Elephas maximus indicus: one gene and its partner. The protein of the gene in region 2 interacts with the protein of the main gene of each other region in a pairwise test. Links are inferred from orthologs where the notes say so. Each region holds a gene or a part of one and is shown on either strand. Other genes may lie near its edges.

What was found.
Region 1: the proteins of TRIB3 (region 2) and ATF5 interact in a two-hybrid assay, tested with the Homo sapiens proteins (2 studies listed by BioGRID and IntAct). The link is inferred for Elephas maximus indicus from reciprocal best matches to the Homo sapiens genes TRIB3 and ATF5.

The regions. Positions count from the first base shown.
Region 1 is NC_064829.1:100,367,641-100,378,375, reverse strand, and holds ATF5 (cyclic AMP-dependent transcription factor ATF-5), read right to left. Parts: upstream 4,168-10,735; 5' UTR 4,078-4,167; exon of another isoform or gene 4,059-4,077; intron 2,921-4,058; 5' UTR 2,814-2,920; coding exon 2,636-2,813; intron 1,588-2,635; coding exon 935-1,587; 3' UTR 297-934; downstream 1-296.
Region 2 is NC_064843.1:38,420,460-38,431,954, reverse strand, and holds the start of TRIB3 (tribbles homolog 3), read right to left. Parts: upstream 4,484-11,495; 5' UTR 4,382-4,483; intron 1-4,381. UniProt on the Homo sapiens protein: Inactive protein kinase which acts as a regulator of the integrated stress response (ISR), a process for adaptation to various stress. Inhibits the transcriptional activity of DDIT3/CHOP and is involved in DDIT3/CHOP-dependent cell death during ER stress.

The DNA of each region.
Region 1 (10,735 bases), on a different chromosome or scaffold from region 2:
GCCATCAGCCCCTTTTGTTTTGGAGTCATCCTTTTTGTTGTATGAGACAAGGACTGAGGGAAGCTGGCACCTTTGGCTGTTCTTTCTTTCACTTTCTATCTAATTAATAAATTAGCTGAATCTAAAAAGAGGTTCATTGTATCAGCTGTGGATACAGCTACTCCCCAACTTCCCCTCTCAAAGATAAGACATGGAGACCAAGAGGAAAGTCATTTTATTTTTGTTCACAAACCCCCAAAGGATCACTCCCCGCCCTCCCTCACCTAGATGCAGCCCCATCCCCCAACACCTTCACAAAACACTGATTTCCTCCCAGAGCTAAAATTGAACACCCAGTCACCAACTATGGCCATTCCCCACCCTGCCCCTTCCTCCCCACTGCCTGTATATTCACCTGCTCTGTGAACTTGGCCACCTCTGGACTCTCTCCCCAAAAGTAGTTCTCCCCAAGGTCACTTGGCTTGGTTTTTTTGCTTTTTCTTGAAGCGCTCCCTGACTTACCTATCCAGAGTCCCTGTTCTCATTGGCATAGTAATTCTGCATAGCTTCCTGGCCCCACCTCTAGGTTCCAGCCAGGACCACTCCACCCCGCACCGAGAACAACTTGCAAGAAAGCACTGATTTGGGACTCAAGAGGCCCTATTTCCAAGCGCTGATCTGCTCCCTGAATTCCCTGTAGCTCTCAGTTCCTCAGCTGATACTTGAGGGATGGAGATGTTAACTAAGGCCAAACGTTCCAAAGTTCTGAGGATGGAGTAGGGGACCAAATTCAGAAATGGGCTAGAAAGGAGACAAGGATAAAAATAAAGGAGGGAAGGGTGTAGAATGAAGCTGGAGGTAGAGGGATGATGAAGGGGTCCCACCTCAGCCACAGAAACGGAAGTGACCCAGAGCTGAATACCAGTGCCCCCTACAGGCCAAAGCCCCTGCCCATCTAGCTGTTGCGTGTCCTCTGGCTTCGAGCCTTATACACTTCGATGAGCAGATCCTTGACGTACTGGATCTCCCGCTCCACCGACTCAGCCCTTTCCCTCAGCTCCCGGTTCCGAGCCTCCAGCCCCTGGCACTCGCCCTCCAGGGCCTCGCCCTCTGCCCGCTTCCTCTGGCGGTACCTCAGAGCTGCTGACTTGTTTTGGTCTCTCTTCTTCTGCTTGCGGTCCCCTCGGGTGGTGGCAGGGTTGGGGTACGGGGCTGGGCGAGAGGGCTGAGGTGGGGGAGGATGGGGCTGCTGTGGTGGGGGCAGGGGTGCCAACCCCACAGCATCCCCCTGCCCAGTCTCGCTGCGGCAGTAGATGGCCAGCAAGTCGAGGGTATCCAGGGCAGGGGGCTGGGGGAGGTCTAAGGTGGGGAGGGGGAGAGGAGGAACTTGTGGGGGTGGCGGAGGAGGGGAGGGTGGTGGGAGGAGTGGGGCATCAAGAAAGAAGTCTTCCATCTGCTCCAGCTCCTTCTTGAGGAGGGAGGCCATGGCTTCCAGATCAGGTGGGGGCGGGGAAGGTGGGGGAAGGGCACCAGGGGGAAAGGGAGGCTCCAGAGGAAGGAGGGCTGTGAAGTCAACCCGCTCAGTCATCCAGTCAGAGAAGCCGTCTCCTAGGGAATTGGAGAAGGGACATAAAGTTCCATCTGAGTTCCTGGTCCTCCATCCAATTGGGTACTCATTCATCCCATTCATTCAGTAAAACAACCAACCAATCAACAAATCATCAAACCAGTCAACAAGCCAACAAGTCAGTCAAGCAACCAATGAACAATCAGCCAACAATTTGACCAATCAACCAACCAACCAGTAAATCAATCAATGAGCCAGTAAACCAAGCCATCAACCAATCAGTGAAGCAGTCAACCAGTCAACCAAACCACCTGTAGACCAGCCAGACAACCATCCCACAAACCAGTCAACCAACCAATGAATCAGTCAGTCAGCCAACTAATCAATCAACCAGTCAAACAGCCAAAAAACCAGTCAGCCAACAAAAGAACCAATCTGCCAACCAGTCACCCAACCATCCATCAACCAACCTTTTCTTCAACCAATCCAACATCCTCTTTACTTTTTTCTACGGTTCCTCTAATCTACTCTCTAGTTTGTCCTTAAAACACCAACTAGATGACATCACACACACATACACACACACCGTGCTTCAACTTTAATTCATTAATTACTGAAAACCTACAATGTGTCAAGCATTTGGGATATAGTAATGACTAAAACAATTCCTGTCTCAGGGTCTCTGCATATGCTGTTCCTTCACCTGAAATGCTCTTCCCTTGGGCCTTTTGATAGCTCGTTCCTTCCCATTCTTCAGGCCACAGCTTAATGTTACCTTCTTGGACAAGGTATCCTGGCTACCCACTCTAAAACTAGGTCCCCTTTGATATTTTCTAGCTCAGTCACTAAGTGCTTCCTACTTAGTCCCAATACATCTTCGTTTTACTTGACTGTTGTCTGTCTCCCCACAAGAATGTGAGTTCTGGGAAGGCAGGAATCATGTCAGTCTTGTTCCTGGCTCTATCCTCAGCAGCTAAAACAGTGCCTGACGCATTGTATTTACAGAATCAATGAATAAATTAATTCTTCCTTCTCCCTCTCCCCCACTTCCCCCCAGCTCATCCACCTCCATTCTCCACCTGCCCTTACCTGCCAGGGGCTCTCCCCCCCCTGGAAGCCCGCCCTCCAGGGCTCCCCCAAGGACCTCATAGGGGCCCAGGGGGGCAGGGGCCAGGGGGAGTTTCCCATAGTCTACGAGCCAGCCCAGCCCGCTAGCTGGGAGCAGGGTCCTGTCCAGCTCCAGCCCCAGGGTCGCCAGGAGTGACATGGCTGCAAAAGAGGCGCTGGGCACGGATGGCAACGAAGGAGGCAGCACCAACAGCTGGGAGGTTGCTCAGATGGACTAAGGCAGGCACCAAGGCGAAACCGGAGGACCTACACGTTGGAGACAAAGGGAGCAGAGTCAGCAGCCAGACCGCCACCAGCCAAAGGCACCGGGAAGCCATACCCCCATTGCTAACAGGTTCCCCCCTCTCGGAATTCTAAACCCTGAGCCCCCCACACTCCCAAGGGAATTCTCCTTAGGCCTCTCCCATCCACCCCTTGACACTCTTCTTCATTAAAAAACCTGAATCCCAGGGGAATTTTCTTCTAGCCACGCCCCTTCCCCAAAAATGTTTCCTTTAGGCTCCGCCCCATCCCTAGATTCCATCTCAAATCAGTTCCCAGGGGAATTCCCCCATGTTTTGTTCCTTCATCAATGCTATGTGCTTAGACTCCACTCTTCGCTTAAATTTAGTAGTGAACCCCCACTCCCCGCCTGCCCCCGTGCCCTCCAAGCTCCACTCCTCCTGAGTCCCTATAGGCCCCGCCTTTCTCCAGACGAAACCCCTCCTCGCCTGGCCCCGCCCTTTCCCACAACGTGTTGGCCCGCCCCTCACGAAACCTGTGTTCCTCGCCCTAAGCCCCGCCTTCTTCCCTGTCAATCTAAACTAGGCCCCGCCCCAGCAGATGCCTGCTGAAAGCGAGTGAAGCTACGCTGTGCGCCACCGCAGTGTGGAGAAAGGAGGGCGGGGGAAAGGTTGTGGAAAATGTCTTCCACCCCCACCCTTCCACAAGTCGCCGTCTCCCCGAGGGCTAAAGCGCATGATCTGTCATCCAGGTGGTGTAAATTGTGTTCTCATGCATTCCCCCCCTCCCCGCCCTCTTGGGGGTCAGTGCGCATATGCGGCGGCGTACGCCCCGACCTTTCCGCACAATTACGGGCTCTGGTGGGCTGGTGCGCATGACCAACAGCGTACGGCTAGACTCGTTTCCGGGGGAGGGGGAGGGAACTCTGTGGGAGCTAGTGCGCGGCAGTAACCGCACGCGTTCCCTTAGCGTAAACAATCAGGAAGAACCCTGCCCCCCCACCTCGGACCGAGTGCGCATGCTCCGATGGGCGCCGACAGGCGCCCCCCCGCTTCTGCGCCTGCGCAACCAAGATTCCCCAATCACTTCTCCCTACCCAACCCCCGGTCAGGCCTTGAGGGCCGCGCGCAGCGAAAGGGCGGGAAAGGCGGTTGGAGAGGGAGGGGCGAGCGGTTACTCACTCCATGGCGGCAGAAAGGGGAGGCAGCGGAGGCCTCGGCTGAAGAAAGAAGGCAAGAGCGGATAGCGCAGGTGCGGTGAGCGCGGAGACGGGCCGGGGGGCACGGAGGGGTCGCGGCTACAGGGCCATGGCCAGGGCTACGCGGGCGGTGGCGGCGTCGCGCTAGTGTGAGGAAACCGTGATCTGAGGACGGGGAATGAGGCGGCCCCGGGGACTGGGGACAGATATACCGCAGGTGGCGCAGCACAGTCCGTCCGGATCCTTCCGCGCTCCGCCCCTGTGCGGCCCTAACCGGGAGGCGGGCCCGGAGCCCTCCTCCCTTTCACCCGGGGTTCGGACCCCCTCTTCCATCTCATCTGAGGATCGGATCCCCTCCTCCCTCTCACCCGGGCGTCCGGCGCCCTCCTGCTTCTGACCCGGGGGTAAGACCCCTCCCTCCCTCAGAACCGGGGGTCTAGTCTCCTCCTCTCTGTGATCTGGTGATCAGACTCGCTCGTGTTTCTGGGGATCGGGCCCTCTCCTGTCTGACTCTGGAGCCCGACCCCGGCCTCTCCTCCCTCAGACTCGCACGTGGTCATTTCTCTGTTCCCTTCCCCCCTTCATGAAAGAATTTCCTGCCAACCACACCCAAATCTCTCCGTCCATTCATCCCTCAGCTGCTGCCCGGGCCTGAAAAGCCTTGTAGGTTTGAGATCTTGCTTGAGTCAGAGTCAGATGGCCTTCGTTCAAGTCACAGAGCGGCCAGGGTGGCCTTGGGCAAATAACTGAAGTTTTCAGTGCCTCATGTGTCCATGTGGTAGGGTTGTTTGTCAGAGTTAAATAAGGTGATGTCTTCGAAACCCTAAGCACAGAACCGGGCTCATACTTGCCTGGTAAACGGTGCCTTGTTATTAAAAGGAACTCTGGTGCCCAGTCTCACCCCTTCTGGCAGAACCCCAGGCACTGGACCACCCAACACCTGTTAAGAGGTCATTTTTGTGTGTCTCAGTCCTCCCTGGTGTTCATTTCCAGCCATCCCCTCCCTCCCCTTCCCAAGTGGTAGATGCTCAGCCACTTCCAGGTGGAGGGATTCAGGCCTCATGGCCCCCTCTCCAGCTTTTTCTCTTTTCAACAGCCCCTGCCCACCTTCTTCAGCCCTCGTCAGCTAGTTCTTTCTCCTGCCCCTGCCCTTCTCCCGATGGTTTTACAGTTTTTTGTCTCAGCTGCCACTCAGCATCAGGGAACTGTCTTCCAGCCGGGGTCACTATAAGTCCGAATCCACTTGACGACATCGGGTTTCCTTTGGTTTTTACCCTTCCGTTCATTAAAAGAGAGGGCGCATCACCCCCAGCTGGCCCAGGTGGAGATGGCTCTTTGCTGTGCTGCAGAAGGTCCCTCTCTTTTCCACTCGTCGTTCATCCACATGGAGTTCAGTCTCATCCCTTTTGGGGCAGCTACAAAACAATCAAAACCCGGGGAAGGTGGGTTTTGAGGCTAGCTGGGCTAGCCTATCTTGAGATCTGACCACCTTCCGTTAGAGCCAGATTTGAGCACTAGCCCTGTAGTTCCTGGGATTCATAGGGGCTACGCTATTACTTAGGCAGTATAGGGCAGCACTTTAAGAGCTCAGACCCTGGAGCCAGATTGTCTGGGTTCAAACCCAGACTAGCCGTGTGGCCCTAATTTCCCCATGCCTTGACTTCCCTTGCGGTGGAACGTGGCCAATAATAGCATGTGCCTCTTAGGGCAATGAGGATTAAATGAATTAATCTCTGCCTGTCCTTTATAGTAGTGCTTGGCACATAGTGGCTGCTGCTCAGGGTTGTTACTATTACTGTTCTTGCTGTTAATACTGAGATGCATATGTTCTGTTTCCATTGCCAGCAGTGGATCCTTTCAGACCATAATGGCCTTAGAGCTTTGGTGTGAGGCTTAAGGATGGACTCCCCTCCATGTCTCAGTGTAGATATTTGAACAGTAGCAGGTGGCAGGGATTAGGGTTGACTGTCGGGCAGGCTGTTAGCCTGGGGAGGCCCTGTCCAGACTACCAGAAAAGGGAAGCCCCAACTCCAGCTGAAAACCTGCTGCTGGCAAGATTGAGCCCTGGCCCAGCCCTTTGGCACCTTCCCTGTTGAGGTCTATTTTCTCACTCTATCCCCCACCTACAGTCTTCTTCTGAGAAGGCCCTCTGGGTTATATATATGGAAACTAGGTAAATAAACTATTTTAGTAAAAGTTTAGATTTACCGAAAAGTTACAGAGAAAGTGTAGCGTTTCTGTGTACCCTACATTCAGTTTTCCCCGCTGTTAACAACTTACAAGAGGAAGGTACAGTTGTCACAGTGCTGGAACCAGCATTGACACATTACAACAAACTAAACGCCACACTTACCTGATTTCATTCCTTGTCCCTGCATGGCCTTGTTCTGTCCCAGGATCCCCTCCAAGGCACCACATCACACGTGGCTGCCTCTGGGCTGTAGCCACTGCTCAGACATTCCTTGGCTTTGATGATCTGGTCAGATTTGAAGAGGGCTGGTTGGCTGTTTTCTGGAATGCACTTCACTTTGGGTTTGTCTTGTGGTTAGACTGGGACTATGGATTTTTGAAAGACCCCTGGTAGCACAATGGTTGAGTGCTCAGCTGCTAACGAAAAGATTGGCAGTTCCAACCCACCAGCCATTCTGTTGGAGGAAAGACCCAGCAATCTACTCCTGTAAAGATTACAGCCTAGGAAACCCTATGGGACAGTTCTACTCTGTCCTGTAGGGTTGCTATGAGTCAGAATCAATTCTGTGGCACACAACAACATGGGTTTTTGAGAGGGCCCCCAGGTAGGGTATTTTTTAAATAACTGGTAATGGGAATCCTGTTACTAGTTTGTGGGGCACCTGCTGACTGGGAAGGAATTGGGGCAGGGACCATGGTGGCCGACATCCCAGCCTCCCATGCCGTTTTCTCTCTCTGGGCCTTATGTCCTTGTCTGGTAGAGTTGTTGGATTCCGCCCGATTCAGCCCTAGTGCCGAGTGGGTGCCAATTCACACGCTTAGCTCCCAACCCTTCTGGCATGTTTTAGTTTACACACTGCGGGTCATCTGTGGCTGCCTACAACTCCATACCCTGAGCCCTCAGTTTGGGTTTGTCTTGTAGTTAGACTGGGCCCCTGGCACCCTGAACCTTTTCCTGGGCCCACCCTAGACCTGGGCCCCTGGCCCCTCCAGGACTCAGATATCCCCACCTCCCCCAGCCTCAAAGAGGCCTTCAGGGCCAGGCCCCCAGCCCCTTCAGGCCCTGAGCTCAGGGCTAGGAGCACAGTAGGGTTGCTGGGGACTCTTTTTCGGTGCGGAGGGGCCAGGCTCAGGGAGTGAGGCGGCTGTTGCAGGCAGGTTGCATCATCCCTGGCTCTTTAATGGGGAGGGGATTCTCTGGGGGCCCTGGTGCACCTGGCAACAGCTCCTGGTGAGTGGAGCCCTGGATCAGGGAGAGGCTCCAGCACAGCTGGGGTGGACAGGAGCAAGGGAGGGAAATTGGACACCAGTGCAGGACCCTGAGAATCAAGACTCAATGCCAAGGAGTGGCTGTAGGTCCCTGAAGCCAACCAGCTGCCCTGGCAGGGGCAGGACGGGCCCAAAGAAGCAAAAGATTTGCTTAGAATTACACTGCTAGCTAGAGCCCCAGCTTCCGCAGCACCACTTCCAGGCCTCACACACCCTGGTCTCTCAGTTCTATGGGGGTCCCCAACCCACACTCCAGGGCAGAGCCTGCTGGGGGTCACCACTCAGACCCTCACCTCAGGTTTGCTCATATTCACGGTTTGCAAATTCTGTCGAGTCCAGCCATTCCCGCTGCCCTCGAGGAGGCCCTCCTCACCCACTTCCCAGTCAGGGTACAGCTGGTGTGACGGAAAAGGCCCCCAAGGTTTGCATCAGGCGACGCAGGTTCTGATCCTGCGGCCACACCGCTTACTCCTAGCCACAGATTCGGGAAGGTCCTTAATCTGCTTGAGCCTCAGCTGCTTCTACAGTACAGGTCAGAGCCTGCCAGGTTCAGATCCCAACTGCACCACTCTGGTTCCATGACCCTCAGCAAGTGACATCGTCTCTCTGTGACTCAGTTTCCTCAACCCATAAAATGGGGAAAATGGGGATGAGAGGACCCACCTCATAGTGTCATTGTGAGGATTAAATGGGCTAACGCATGTTAACTTTCTAGAATAGGGCCTAGCAGGTGGGAGGTGCCCTGTGAGCATTCGTTATTTCTAAGGCTGGGGCGCTGGGAAGATTCTGGGAAATGATGTTGGTAAAGCTGGGAGGTGCTTAATAGGAGCTCAAAAACTGTACATGTTTATTGCCCTCCCCTGTACCTTCCACATGTGGTTCTATTCTCCTCACAACCTTGGAGACAGATGTCTTTGGACATAAGTGTGTCCCCGAGCACTAAATTGTTCCCCCAGTCCCATGTGCACACCCATGCATTTCTACGTGAATTCCTCATGGACAGAGGCTGGGAAATCCAATACTGTGGTCTCTGAGAGGCGCCAGGTCCAGTGTCAGGGTCACACAGGCCAGGAGGCAGGGTTGGAGGTGGGCATTGGGCAAACAAGGCAAAAAGGCCAAGGCCAGCTTGGCTGGGGAAAGGGCAGCCCTGGACACGAGCCTGCCACGTGTCAGAGCACAGAGTCCTCACAGCCCCTTCCCTCCCCTTGCTGCTCCTGCCTCGTCCCTGGATCCCCAGCGCTGAAGCAGTTGCAGCTCAGCCTGTTAGGCCCCACGCTGTACTGTACCAGCTCTGACAGCCCCTGTGGTCACCTTCTGAATGAGTTTCCTCTTGCCATGGTAACAAATTGCCACCAACCTCGTGGCTTAAACAACCCACATTTACTCTTGTACAGTTCTGGAGGTCAGGTGTCTAAAATGGGTCCCCAGCACTGTGTTCCTTCTGGAGGTTCTGAGGGGGGCAGGGGATCCGTTTCCTTGCCTTTTGCAGCTTCTGGAGGCCACCTGCTTTCGTTGGCTCTTGACCTCTTCCTTGCATCACCCCAACGTCTTGCTTCAGTTGTCATGTCTTCTATTTCCTCCTTTGACATTCTGCCCCCCCGCCTTAAAAGGACCCTTGTCATTAGTCATTACTAATTCAGGGCCCCCCAGGATAATCCAGGATGCCCTCCCCATCACAAGGTCCTTCATCACATCTGCGAAGTGCTTTTTGCCATGTAGGTAAAATAGTCATAGACATGGGCCTCCTTAGGGGCTATCATCCAGCCTCCCACACCTCCCCTTTCAGAGCCTCGGTTTCCTTGTCTGGGAGTAAAGGATTGGGCCAGCCCTGGGGGTCCTCTCCACCCACACCCACAGGAACTGGTTCTAGGTAGGAGAAGGATAGTGCAAGCTGACAGTTAGCAACAGAGTGTCCCAGATGTGGTTTCAGACAAGATGCTGCACCCTTCGTTGCCTCAGCCACCATGTCTCCAAGTTGTGAGTTTCAGAAGTGTTGTGTGCCATTGAGTCGATTCCAACTCATAGTGACCCTGTAGGACAGAGTAGAACTGCCCCATAGGGTTTCCAAGGCTGTCATCTTTATGGAAGCAGCCTGCCACGTATTTCTCCAGCAGAAAAGCGGGTGGGTTTGAACCGCTGACCTTTTGGTTAGCAACGGAGCCCTTAACCATTGCGCAACCAGGGCTCCTTCAGAAGAGTGAGTACGTGGAAAGTGCCTATGAGGTGAGCCTGCTAGACTGGATGGCACGCTGCCAGGAGGCACTGCCACTACAAGGATAGCTGGAGGGTCAGAGCCGCTGGTTTCACAGGGGAAGTAGAGCTCCAGCCTTTTCTGAGGTCCTTGTTTTAAATGTTGGCAAGTAATCCAGAAAGACTGGAAAAGTCCCCAACAAACCATAGGACTGAGGCTTCTGTGACCTTTTATGTCCAGTGGTTCCCCAGACAAAACACCAGCCACCACATCTGTAGTCCTCTTTGTCCATAACAGAGAACAAAAGGAACCAAGTGTTCCTCTTTCTGGAGAGTCTGAGCCAGACCCCTCCCTGCTCGCCTAATCAACCAGGTGCCCTCAAGGTGACTGGACTCAAGGCCACCCCACGTGTGCAGAGTAGAGCCAAGTCATAGGGTTTTCAAGGCTGTGACCTTTCAGATGCAGATGACCAGGCCTTTGTTCCAAGGCTCTGGGTGAACTTGAACTTCCAACCTTTCAGTTAGCAGCCAAGCATCTGTACCATCCAGGGACTGTCCAAGAGGTGTCCAGGTGGCTGCACCACCTCCCCACACCCCCTCCCAGTTGGTAGATTAAAAAGGAACAGGCCCCATTCCAGTGGAAAGGAAGGGTAAGGGCTCCAGGAAAATGGTCCCTGAGAATCGGGGTGCTTGTTGGGGGGACTATCTTATTACCCAGGCTGTCCCATATCAGCTTACCCCCCGCCAATATATGTGGTTGAACACATAAGCTCATTGAACGGAGGAAGAATGCAGGGCCCCGGGGCACCCCAGAAAAAGGAGTGAGTTAAGCCATGGTGGTGGTTCTGGGGAGGGCTCCATGAAGTGGGCTTTGCTCTGGGTTGGGTGCCTCAGGGAGAAGGCAGGTCGGTGACTAGGTATCTGGGTCTCACGCCATGGCAGGTGGAGAAGAGCCGGGCAGGAGTGAGTGTTGGGGTGTGCCTGTGGTGTGC
Region 2 (11,495 bases):
GACATGGCAGTCTGCTTCTGTAAAGATTACCAAAAAAATAAAAACCAAGCCCGTTGCTGTCAAGTCGATTCCAAGTCGTAGCGACCCTATAGGACAGACTAGAACTGCCCCATAGGCTTTCCAAGGAGTGGCTGGTGGATTCAAACTGTTGACCTTTTGGTTAACAGCCAGGCTCTTAACCATTGGCACCAGAGCACAGCCATAGTTTCAAAGGCTCAGAGGAGGAGGATCCAGAGGCTCCGTAGTGGACTGGACGTGGGGGTGAGAGAGAGGGTGGAGTCAGTGAGGTCCAGTATTAGGTTCCTGAAGTAAGGAAAAGGCGTGGTAGCTTTATTTCCTGAGCTAGGGGAGAAACCCTTACTTTTGGAACTCTGGAGGAAGGTAGTTGAGTTTCATTTTAGACACGTTGCATCTAAGCAGAAAGAGTAGCATACTGGAGACGTTGTGAAGGAGGGTGTGCACCATGGCAGCCACTAACAACAAGGACATTCTGGTGGCGGGAAAATGGTGCAACCTCAATGGCATACATTTTGATAATATCAAAATAAAAAATGCACACACGCTTTGATTCAGTAATTAATCCCATCGCCAGGAATTTACCCTTTAGATGTGTGTGTGTAATAATGCACCCATTGCTGTCAAGTCAGTGCCGACTCATGGCAACCCCATGTGATACAGCAGAACAACTCCATTCGGTTTTCTTGGCTGTAGTCTTTGCAGAAGCAGATCTCCAGGCCTTTCAAAGCATTGATCAGTGGGTTCCAACCGCCAACCTTTCAGTTAATAGCTGAGGAACCTCAAAATGGTGCGAGTACAAGGTTATTTCCTGACACCCTGTACAATATAGAAAAAGAATGGCAAACCGGAAGTCCACCTTTAGGGGACCGGTTAAGTGAGTTATACTTCACCCATACAATGGAAGGTTATGCAGCCATTGAAAAGACTGAGGGAGCTCTTTACGTGCTAATTAGAAAGACCTCCAGGGTGAACAGTTAAGGGGAAAAGAAAAACAAAAAGTCAAACAGAAAGATGAGCTTGGTGGTGGGGTGAGAGGGAGAGAGACTCAGCACTGTGTCCATTGAGTCTGGTTGTATAGACATTTATCATCTGTTGAAAGCAGGGGGGAGGAAGGAAGGAAGGATGAGGGTGAATGAATGGAATATGTACTAGACGTTTGTATGAATGGATGTAGAGAATGGGTGTACATTGTCAAGTGAATGAACAAAGCAAGTTGCCTGACAATACACTTGAAGTGATTCCATTTGTGAAAAAACTCAACAGCACATAGAACAATGCATCTCCATATCTGTACATAAGTAGGTGTGTGAGTGTGCAGGAAAAGGTCTGGAAGGACCCAGAGTAAATTGGCCACAGAAGCTTCTGGAGAGGAAGGGATTTGCAATGGAAGCAAGGAAATTTTTCTATTTCAAAATTTTAAAATAAAGATTCTGCTTTCGTTGATTGTTGGGTATTTCAAAAGAGAGCGTATTTCTTTTCTCAAATGTGACTTTTCTCTGCTGTATGAATAGGCCAATGGCCCAGAGCCGCTGTAATCAGAGTTCATATGCAGTTAGTCTATGAGACAGACACCTGAGTGCTCCAGTGTCACATCAGAGAAATGGGACTGAGCAGGGAGGGTCTCTCAAAGGCCCCAAGATTCCCTCATTCCACTGTGGAGTAAAGTGCCACATGCCCAGTTGAGAACTGTGTGCGGTGAGTGGGAGAGAGGACAATGTAATGGCCGGTCAGGGTGGGAAGCTTCTCTCCCGGACCCATCTGTCCAACCATTTAGGCTCCAGATGAGGACATTGGAGACGTAGGTCTGAGACATTAGATCAAGCCAGACTTCAGCCCCGATAAAGGACAAACAGTCCAAGCAGAGGCAGGATGAATGGGAAACATCATGCAAGTTGGTCCTGAGATGGAGACCCCCTGCTCCAATCATGCAGCTCCCATAGGCTGCCTTGGGTGGGAGGGGACACTCCCAACCCAGTGAAAGCCCATAACCCTTCTTGGAAAGAATGTGATGGGGGGAAGGGGTTGGAGTCAGATATTCCTGGGTTCTAATCCTGGCTCCATTCATTCCTGGTTGGATAGTTCTGGGCAAATTCCTCAAATTTCTGAGCCTCAGTTCCCTCAACTGTAAAATGGGAAGAGGATGCAAAGCCCACAGGATTTTTGTGATGATGAAATGAAAACTCAAATTACGTAGAGCTTAGCGTGGCCCTGTAGGAGGATCAAAAAAAAAAAAAAAAAAAATGTTGCTGTCAAGTCAGTTCTGACTCCCTGCAACCCCATGTGTCAGAGTAGAACTGTGCTCCATGAGGTTTTTAATGGCTGATTTTTCAGAAGTAGGTCCCCAGGACTTTCTTCAGAGGGGCCTCTGGGTGGACTCCAACTGGAGTCATTTGCACCAGCCAGGGACTCCTGTTGCCGCATATTGCTATGTGTGCAGTTGAGGGGATTCCAACTCACCGCAACCCTGTAGGACAGAGTAGAACTGCCTCCACAGGGTTTCCTAGACTGTAATCTTTACAGGAGCAGATTGCCAGGTCTTTTCTCCCGCAGTGCAACTGGGGGGGTTTGAACCTCTGACCTTTCCCAGCAGAGAAGCCCTTAACCATTGCATGTCGGAGAGGGTCACTACTGTTGTTCTATGGGTCCCCTGGTGCTGCAGTGGTTAAGAGCTCAGCTGCTAACCTAAAGGCGGGCAGTTCAAATCCACCAGCCGCTCCTTGGAAACCCTATGGGGGGGTTCTACTCTGTCCTATAGGGTCACTATGCATAGGAATTGACTTGTTGGCAATGGATTTGAAAATGGATTTGGATGGGTTCGATTGTCCTATTATTATTTATCATTATTATTCATAGCTGAATGTACTTAAGTGCTACTCTTGAAAGTCTTAGAAATCTCCCCAGAAATCCCCTTCAGGGATGAGGCTAGGATAACACTCCTTACCTCACCTCCCCGGGCTGTTCTAAGAGTCCAGTGAGATGGGACCTGGCTGAGTAAGTGCTTCACCGCCCCCCTCCTCCGCCCCACACACACCAGGTGAAGAGGGGGATGGGGCCTGGTATCAGCTCCGTTGGACAGATAGGGTAACTGAGTCTCTAAATGAGCAAGGGACTGACTCTGCAGGCCACACGGCAAGCCTAGAACCTTCACTGTAGGATGGAGGCAGCCCTTTATATCTACCTCCTGCTTTTCTCTGCCATAGGGAGAGGGGGAGAAGTGAGGAGGAGTCATACCCACCACTCATCCGCATCCAGGGCAGACAGGTGTACACCCCTCCCCCCAAAAAAAAACTTCATCCAAGCCAGTCGAAGACACACGTTCAGAGCAGAAAGGGACGCACACCTCATTACATGGCACACACACACACACACATCCCCCAGAACTATCACAACCACGATCAACACCGACAAGGCCACATGCTTCCGACCGGAGGAGAGGGGGCGGCGGGCCATCGGAAGCCCCGCCTGCCCTGGGCCCTCCCGTGGGCGCGGAAGCAGCGTGCGGCGCACATCTGGGGACAGAAGACCCAGTGGAAACGGAAGAGCTGCCCGTGACTGGAAGACAGTGAGGCAAAGGGTAGGAGGTTGGATCCTAGGGCCCGGCGAAGGGGCAGATCTGGGCCCTCGTCCCCCCTGCCCCAGAGACTGCAGGTACACCACAAACCGTCTGCGGGAACAAAACCTATGCGCGCAGAGTACAACCTGCAAATCCGCGGCAAGCTGCCGGGTGCACACTGCGGCCTACGCCCGGCACTCCCCGCACCCCCGCTCACCCAGTCCGACACCCCGCGTGCGGCCTCTTCGTTCCCATTGCCTTGCACCCGCACCCAGCTCCCGGGGCACCCCAGCTCCGCACCGGCCGGGCCCTCTGCACATCCAACACCTGTCCCCAGAGCTCGCACCATCCAAGGAGGCACGCAGATTCCCGAGACCCCCGCGGACCCCCGCACAGCCCGCAGACACTCAGACGCAGACCCTACAGAGTTCTACAGTTCTCCAATGACCCGCGCAGACCTCCCCCACAAAACTCACAACTTCCCCAGTCCACACTCACACAAAACAGACAACACCGCACACCTCTCTGGGGTGACACAAGGACACCTCCATCCCGGGATCTCCTTTCCCCCTGGGTCACAGCTACTACGCCCCGCGAGAGACCCCGCACCCTACGAGACCTGTGGGGACGCTGGGCCCGGTGCGCCCCGCGGACAGCGGGACTTGTGAAAAGTTGCGTGTGTATGTGTGCGCGTGTGTGTACGTAACATGTAGCCACCCTCGAGCACCCCGAGGCTCTGGCCCCCCGTGCGCGCCGGGCTCCCCACTCCGGTCGGCCCCGGCCGGTTCGCTCTCCTGCTCTGCCGGTTACCTTGGTCTCGTGTCCCGCGTGGTTCCCGGCACCGTCCAAGCGCAGAGTCGGCAGGGTCCCCGAGGTGAACCGGGGACCGCTCCGCTGCGGCTGAGCTCCGGCTCCGGTCTAGCTCCCGCCCGCTGTCGCCGGACGCTGACGAGGCTGCCGCTGCCGCCGCTCGAGCTGCGAATGTCTCGGGGGCGCCGGGCGTAGCTCGTCTCCAAGCCCGGGTGATGTAAACCTGAACTAATCCGCGCCGCTGATGCCCTCAGACGGGGGATTGCACCATCCCGAGCGCCCCGCCCCCGGGGTCACCGCCCCGGCTCGCTCCGCCCGGGCCTCGCCTCCTAGGTCAGCTCACTGCCGGGCACCCTGGCCTCGCCGTCTACCAGGGCCGAGTCCACCGCCACTCGGCCCCCCGCGCCCGGAGCTGAGTGCGGACATCAGCCTCTGGCTCTCCCCATCATCTGGGAAAAATCAGTTTATTGTTATGAGCCCCAATTTCCCCAACTGTGAAATGGAAAGAACGTCTTTCCCTCCCAAGATGTTGCTGAGAAGAAAAAGAGCAAACTGAATGTTTCACGGGTGCTTCCCTGTTTATAAAGCACCAGCCCACTACCGCCTTATTAACTCTTAGGAGAACCTTGGGCAGAAAGCCCCGTTGTCCCCATTCTGCGGAAGAGCAGCCTGAGGTCCAGCTGTGGGACAGCAACCCAGGAGCTTTGCAAAGACTCACAGACTTAAGAGCTGACTCCTGGCTCATAAGAACCAGTGGGGTGCCTAGGGAGGCCTGAGCTTCACAATCTGGTGGGCTTTACGGCATTCATGATAGAAGCAGTGTGGTCTAATGGTTAAGAACAACTGCACGCCAGGGCTCCAACCTAGAAGGACCCTGCCTAAGTGTGTACCCCACCTCTGCCTTGACCTACTGTCCTACCTCAGGAAAACAACTTAAAGCCCTGCTTCAGTTTCCTCCTCCCTATCATGGGGCATAAAAAAAGAAAAAAAATTTTTTTTTTATCATGGGCTCATAACAGTATTCACTTCATAGAGTTGTTTTGAGGATTAAATAAGTTAATACATGTAAAATGCTTAAAACAGTGTGTGACGTATCGTAGGTGCTCAATAAATAAAGTGGAGACAGTGGAAACGTAGAGATGGGAAGAGGCCTATAATGACTTGAACCCAGAGGCCTGGGAGCCCCTGGTGCCATATGCTGTTCAGCGGAGCCTCCCTGAGCAGCCTCAGGGGTCCAACACCTTTCTTAGAAATCTATGTTAGGTCTTGATATCTGAATTCACCAAATGTCAGAAAATAACTCCTCAGGCAGAGGCTGGATGGGAGGAGGGACAGAGTCACTTTCCTTTATTTCTGGCCCCAGGGACCAGCTCATCTGTGTCTCAGAATCCCCAGCCTTTGGGGCACACCAGGGGGATCTGAGATATCATTTCACCCTGAGGACTCCCCCACTGGGGAGGGATGAATGAACTCATCTTTTTCTTTATTTTGATAAAAATATATATAAGAAAACATTTGCTGTGTCAACATTTTTTACATGTACAATTCAGTGACATTAATTACGTTCATCGTGTTGAGCAATCATCGCCACTATCCGTTTCCATCACCCTTAAAAAGAAACTCAGTGCCCCGTAAGCAATGACTCCTCTCTTCCCCTCCCTTCTGCCCCTGGCAACCACTGATAAACTTAGATCTCTATACATTTGCCAATATTAGAAGTTTCATGTAAGTGGGATCATACAGTATTTGTCCTTTTGTGACTGACTTATTTCACTTAGCATAGTGTTTTCAAGGTTCATCCATGTTGTACCCTGTATCAAGACTTCATTTCTCTTTATGGCTAAGTGTGTACGTATACACATTGTGTATGTATATACCATATTTTCTTCATCCATTCATTTCTTGATGGACATTTAGGTTGTTTCCACATTTTGGCGATTGTGAATAATGCTGCAATGAACACTGGTGTACGAGTATCTGTTTGTACAAGTATCTGCTTTCAAGTCTTTTGAGTACAGACCTAGGAGTGGAATTGCTGGGTCATGTGATAATTCTGTTTAACTTTTTGAAGGAACCACCAAACTGTTTTCCACAGCAGCTATATCATTTTCCAATCCCACCAGCAATGGATAAGCGTTCCAACTTCTCCAAGTCCTCATCAACACTTGTTGTTTGAGCTCACTTTTTACACCAGGACACCAAGGTTCAGGCTGGAAGGGCCAGTGGTCAGAGGTGAAGAATGGCGGAGATGGTTGTTCTCTGAGCACCTGCCTGAAGCCAGCACTGCAGTGAGCTTGCTCTTACATCCCTATCTTGTGGAATACTGCTGGGTTGTGGGCCCCGCTCTAAATGCTGGTCTTAACTCAGCGGAGACAAGACTGACCCATCCCTGCCCTCGCGGATCTTAGAATTCAGTGAGGAGACAGACCATTGTCAAGAAAATAAAATGAAAACTGTTTAAAACTGATTTTAAGCATCATGTATTTATTTTCTTGAATAAAATAAGGTAGATTTGTTCTTTCTACCATGCTTGAGGAAGGACGTTGGACCCTACCGGGTTAATAGAAACTGCTCAGTGGCACCCTCCCATCCCCACCCCTACCTTCAAGTGGCCCCCAGGGCACGTGACATACATCCCATATCTTAGACACACCTCTGTTACCAGGACCGAGGGGTGACTATTTTCAGTAGGCCTCATCAGGAAGATGATATTTGAACTAAGAGCTCAAGGAAGGAAGAGGTGAGGGGTGCAAAGGTATGCAGGGGAGACAGAAGAAACAGGAAGTGCAAAGCCCAGAGGCAGGAACATGAGTCAGTTAGAGGACTGCAGGATGGGCACTGTCGCCTCCTTTCCATAGAGGAGCCAAGGCGAGGGGCTCACCCAAGGCCACCCAGGTTGGATGAGGCAGATTTGAGATTTGAACCTAGGACAGCTGACTCCAGTCCCCACCCTGTCCTGGGACATTTTACAGCCTTTGCAATCCAGTGGCCTCCATCTGGACTTGTGGGTATGGCCACTGGAACTACACCCTGGGCATAGCCCCCAGATTTGGGGGCCTTGTCGTAGTTGGGTTTACTGAACCCCTACTCTCTAGTCCAGCACTGTCCAATAGAAACGTAATGTGAGCCACCTATGTAATTTCAGATTTTATAGTTGCTGCATTAAAAAAAAATAAAAAGAAGCAGGTGTAAATAATTTTAATAATTTCTTATACTTAATCCAATATCTCGAACATATTATTATTTTGGAAACCATGGTGGCATAGTGGTTAAGTGCCATGGCTGCTAACCAAAGGGGTTGGCAGTTCAAATCTGCCAGGCACTCCTTGGAAACTGTGGGGCAGTTCTACTCTGTCCTATAGGGTCTCTATGAGTCGGAATCGACTTGACAGCCCTGGGTTTGGGTTTTTTGGTTTTATTGGTATTTTAACATATAATTAACATAAAATTTAATTATTAATGAGATATTAAGATTTTTTGCCATACTGATATCTTTGAAATCTGGTACGTATTTTACGCTCACAGTACCGCTCAGTTTGGACACCAAATTGTCACTGGCTAAAGTGAAACGTAGTCCTGCTGAAACAACTAAGTTGTGTTTATTGGGAAAAATATTTCGCCTCCTTCAGTTTTACAATTAAAATAAATTAAAAAATCAGTCACAGGAGTTCCTCAGTCACCCTAGCCAAATTTCAAGTGTTCAATAGCCACATGTGGCTTGTGGATACCCTATTGAGCAGTGCAATCCTAGACCAAGATTCCTGATAAATGATCCAGGGAGTATAATAAAGAGGTTAAGAGCTTGGGCAGACAGGAATTTGACTCCTCTGTCTACAATCTAGAGCCCAAATAGCCTTGAGCCTCAGTTTCTGCATCTATCAAATGGGATTTATTATACCTCCCTAGCATTGCAGTCGTAAGGATTAAATGCATTGAGGAAGCCTCCTGTCCTTGTTAAACGTTTTCTGGGTTCAAATCCCACCACTTCTTAGTGGTGAGATTTTGGGCAAATTACTTAAGCTCTCTAGGCCTCAGTTCCCCTATCTGTAAAATAGGGATATTGATAGTACCTACCTCGTTGGGTTGTCATGAGGATTAACGCTATAAATCCTTATGATTTATAAATAAACCTTATGTACACATTTGTTAAAAAGTGAGAAAATAAATAGGGATCAAATATTAAATGCAAAAATGTGCCCTTTCCTGACACAGTTCAGCTTTCATGAATCTACTTCATTCCAAAACATCTCTCTATGCAGGTGTGTGAGCAGATAGGCTGTTTCTATTTGCTGGAGCTCTGATGAGGCCTGGCCTCTGACCTCTGACCCGCAATGCTGGGGTGAAAAGGAACTGGGGATGGGGCTGTGCTCTACCGGAGAGGAAAGGACCTGGAGTCTATTGACTTCTGTGATCAGAGCCACATCTGCCTCCTTTCTTTCTTTCTTTTTTTTTTTTAATAATTTTTATTGTGTTTTAAGTGAAAGTTTACAAATCAAGTCAGTCTCTCACACAAAAACCCATATACACCTTGCTACACGCTCCCAATTACTCTCCCCCTAAGGAGACAGCCCGCTCTCTCCCTCCACTCTCTCTTTTCGTGTCCATTTTGCCAGCTTCTAACCCCCTCCACCCTCTCATCTCCCCTCCAGGCAGGAGATGCCAACATAGTCTCAAGTGTCCACCTGATCCAAGAAGCTCACTGCTCACCAGCATCCCTCTCCAACCCATTGTCCAGTCCAATCCATGTCTGAAGAGTTGGCTTCGGGAATGGTTCCTGTCCTGGGCCAACAGAAGGTCTGGGGGCCATGACCACCGGGGTCCTTCTAGTCTCAATCAGACCATTAAGTCTGGTCTTATGAGAATTTGGGGTCTGCACCCCACTGCTCTCCTGCTCCCTCAGGGGTTCTCTGTTGTGTTCCCTGTCAGGGCAGTCATCGGTTGTAGCCAGGCATCATCTAGTTCTTCTGGTCTCAGGATGATGTAGTCTCTGGTTCATGTGGCCCTTTCTGTCTCTTGGGCTCATAATCGCCTTGTGTCCTTGGTGTTCTTCATTCTCCTTTGATCCAGGTGGGTTGAGACCAATTGATGCATCTTAGGTCGCTGCTTGCTAGCGTCTTCTCCCTTTCTACCAGGTTGTCCCTAGCCAAAAAACCAAATCTGTTGCTTTTGATCAATTCTGACTCATAGCGACCCTATACAGTGTCCCCAGTGGCTGCTGTATGCCTGAAATTCCACTATCAGTCCTTAAAGCTTTTCATCTTCACCGATTCACCCCACGAAAGTAAAGCTATGCCTTGAAAAGTGTCCCAGCTGGATTCCAGGTCTGGCTAAAGCCACTGACTCTCTGAAATCTTGGGCAAGTCATCTCCTCTCTTGGAGTCTCAGTTTCTTCATCCATAAAATAGGAAGAGAGAGTTGGTTTAGGTCAGTGTTCTCCAAAATATCATAGGTAGGGCACTGGTGGGATGCCAGATGGTTTTATGGTCTCAAAATTCTGTACTAAATAACACTGGGTCATATCGGGAGATAGGCATTCTTTTTTGATTTTCTTTCTGTTCCTCTAATTACCTGGGGAGAAAGTCTCATTTAACAGCTGCTGTGTCTTTAACGGAGCCCTGACAGAGCCCTGGTGGTGCAATGGTTAAGAACTACAGCTGCTAACCAAAAAGGCTGGCAGTTTGAATCTACCAGCTGCTCCTTGGAAACCCTATGGGACAGTTCTACTTTGTCCTATAGGGTCACTATGAGTCAGAATCGACTCAACGGCAATAGGTTTGTTTGTTTTTCTGATTATGTCTTTAACAAGGGAGCCCTGGTGGTACAGTGGTTAAGCACTTGGCTGCTAACCAAGAGGCTGGTGGTTCGAACCCACCAGCCACTCTACAGAATAAAGATGAGACAGTCTGCTTCTGTAAAGATTATAGCCTTGGAAACCATATGAGGCAGTTTCACTCTGTCCTTTGGGGTCACTATGAGTTGGAATCAACCCGACAGCAACTGGTTTATGTCTTTAACACCTCAGTTTTTAAGGAAAAGAAAGCAAGGCTCTGGCTCAGAGCCTTCAGCAAGAAACAGGATTTAGCTAAAATTTAATAATCTTGGTTTGCTCTCCTTATACTTAATTTTATAGTTACCTTTTCTTTATGGCAAATGAGAGCGGTTTTCCATTTGAAGTCAGTGGTGCACATTTTCCTTTTCAAATAAATTTGCCTAAGTTTAAAAGAATGACCTTATTGAAAGAAAAATATTACAGAACTAATAATACAGATGGGTGTCAGTCACAAAAGGACAAATATTACGTGATTCAACTTATATGAAAGGCCTAGAACAGACTAATGTATACAGACCTAAGGTTGTTAGTGTTTACCGGGGGCGGATGGGGGGAGGGGACTTTGCTTAGGAAACACCACAGTTCTGTTAAGGGTGATGGAAAAAACTGGAGATGGATAATGGTGATAGTTGTACAACATGATGAATACAATTAGTGTCAATACATTGCACATGTAGAGAGTGTTGAAACAGCAAATGTTTTGTTACATGGGTATTTGTTGTTGTTGTTGGGTGCCCTTGAGTCGGTTCTGACTCATAGCAACCCTGTGCACAATAGAACAAAACACTGCCTGGTCCTGCACCCTCCTCACAATCGTTGCTATGCGTGAGTCTATTGTTGCAGCCACTTTGTCAATCCATATTGTTGAGGGTCTTCCTCTTTTTTGCTGAGCCTCTACCTTACCAAGCATGAGGTCCTTCTCCAGGGACTGGTCCCTTCTGATAACACGTCCAAAGCATGTGAGACAGAGTCTCACCATCCTCACTTCTAAGGAGCATTGTGGCAGTACTTCCAATACAGATTTGTTCATTCTTCTGGAAGTCCATGGTATATTAAATATTCTTCACCAACATCATAATTCAAAGGCATCAATTCACTTTTGCCACACTAAAAAAAAAAAAACAGCTGGGTAAATGGATTTGGGCCAATCAATTTGAGGAAGACAGCGGGTGATTCGAGAGTGACATCTTAGGCTAATGCTCTTCTTAGGGACCTCTTGTCGAGGTGACGAAGCACCTCCGCCTTCGCTGGAGTCTCCCAAGGGCTTTGCAGAAATCCTTCATC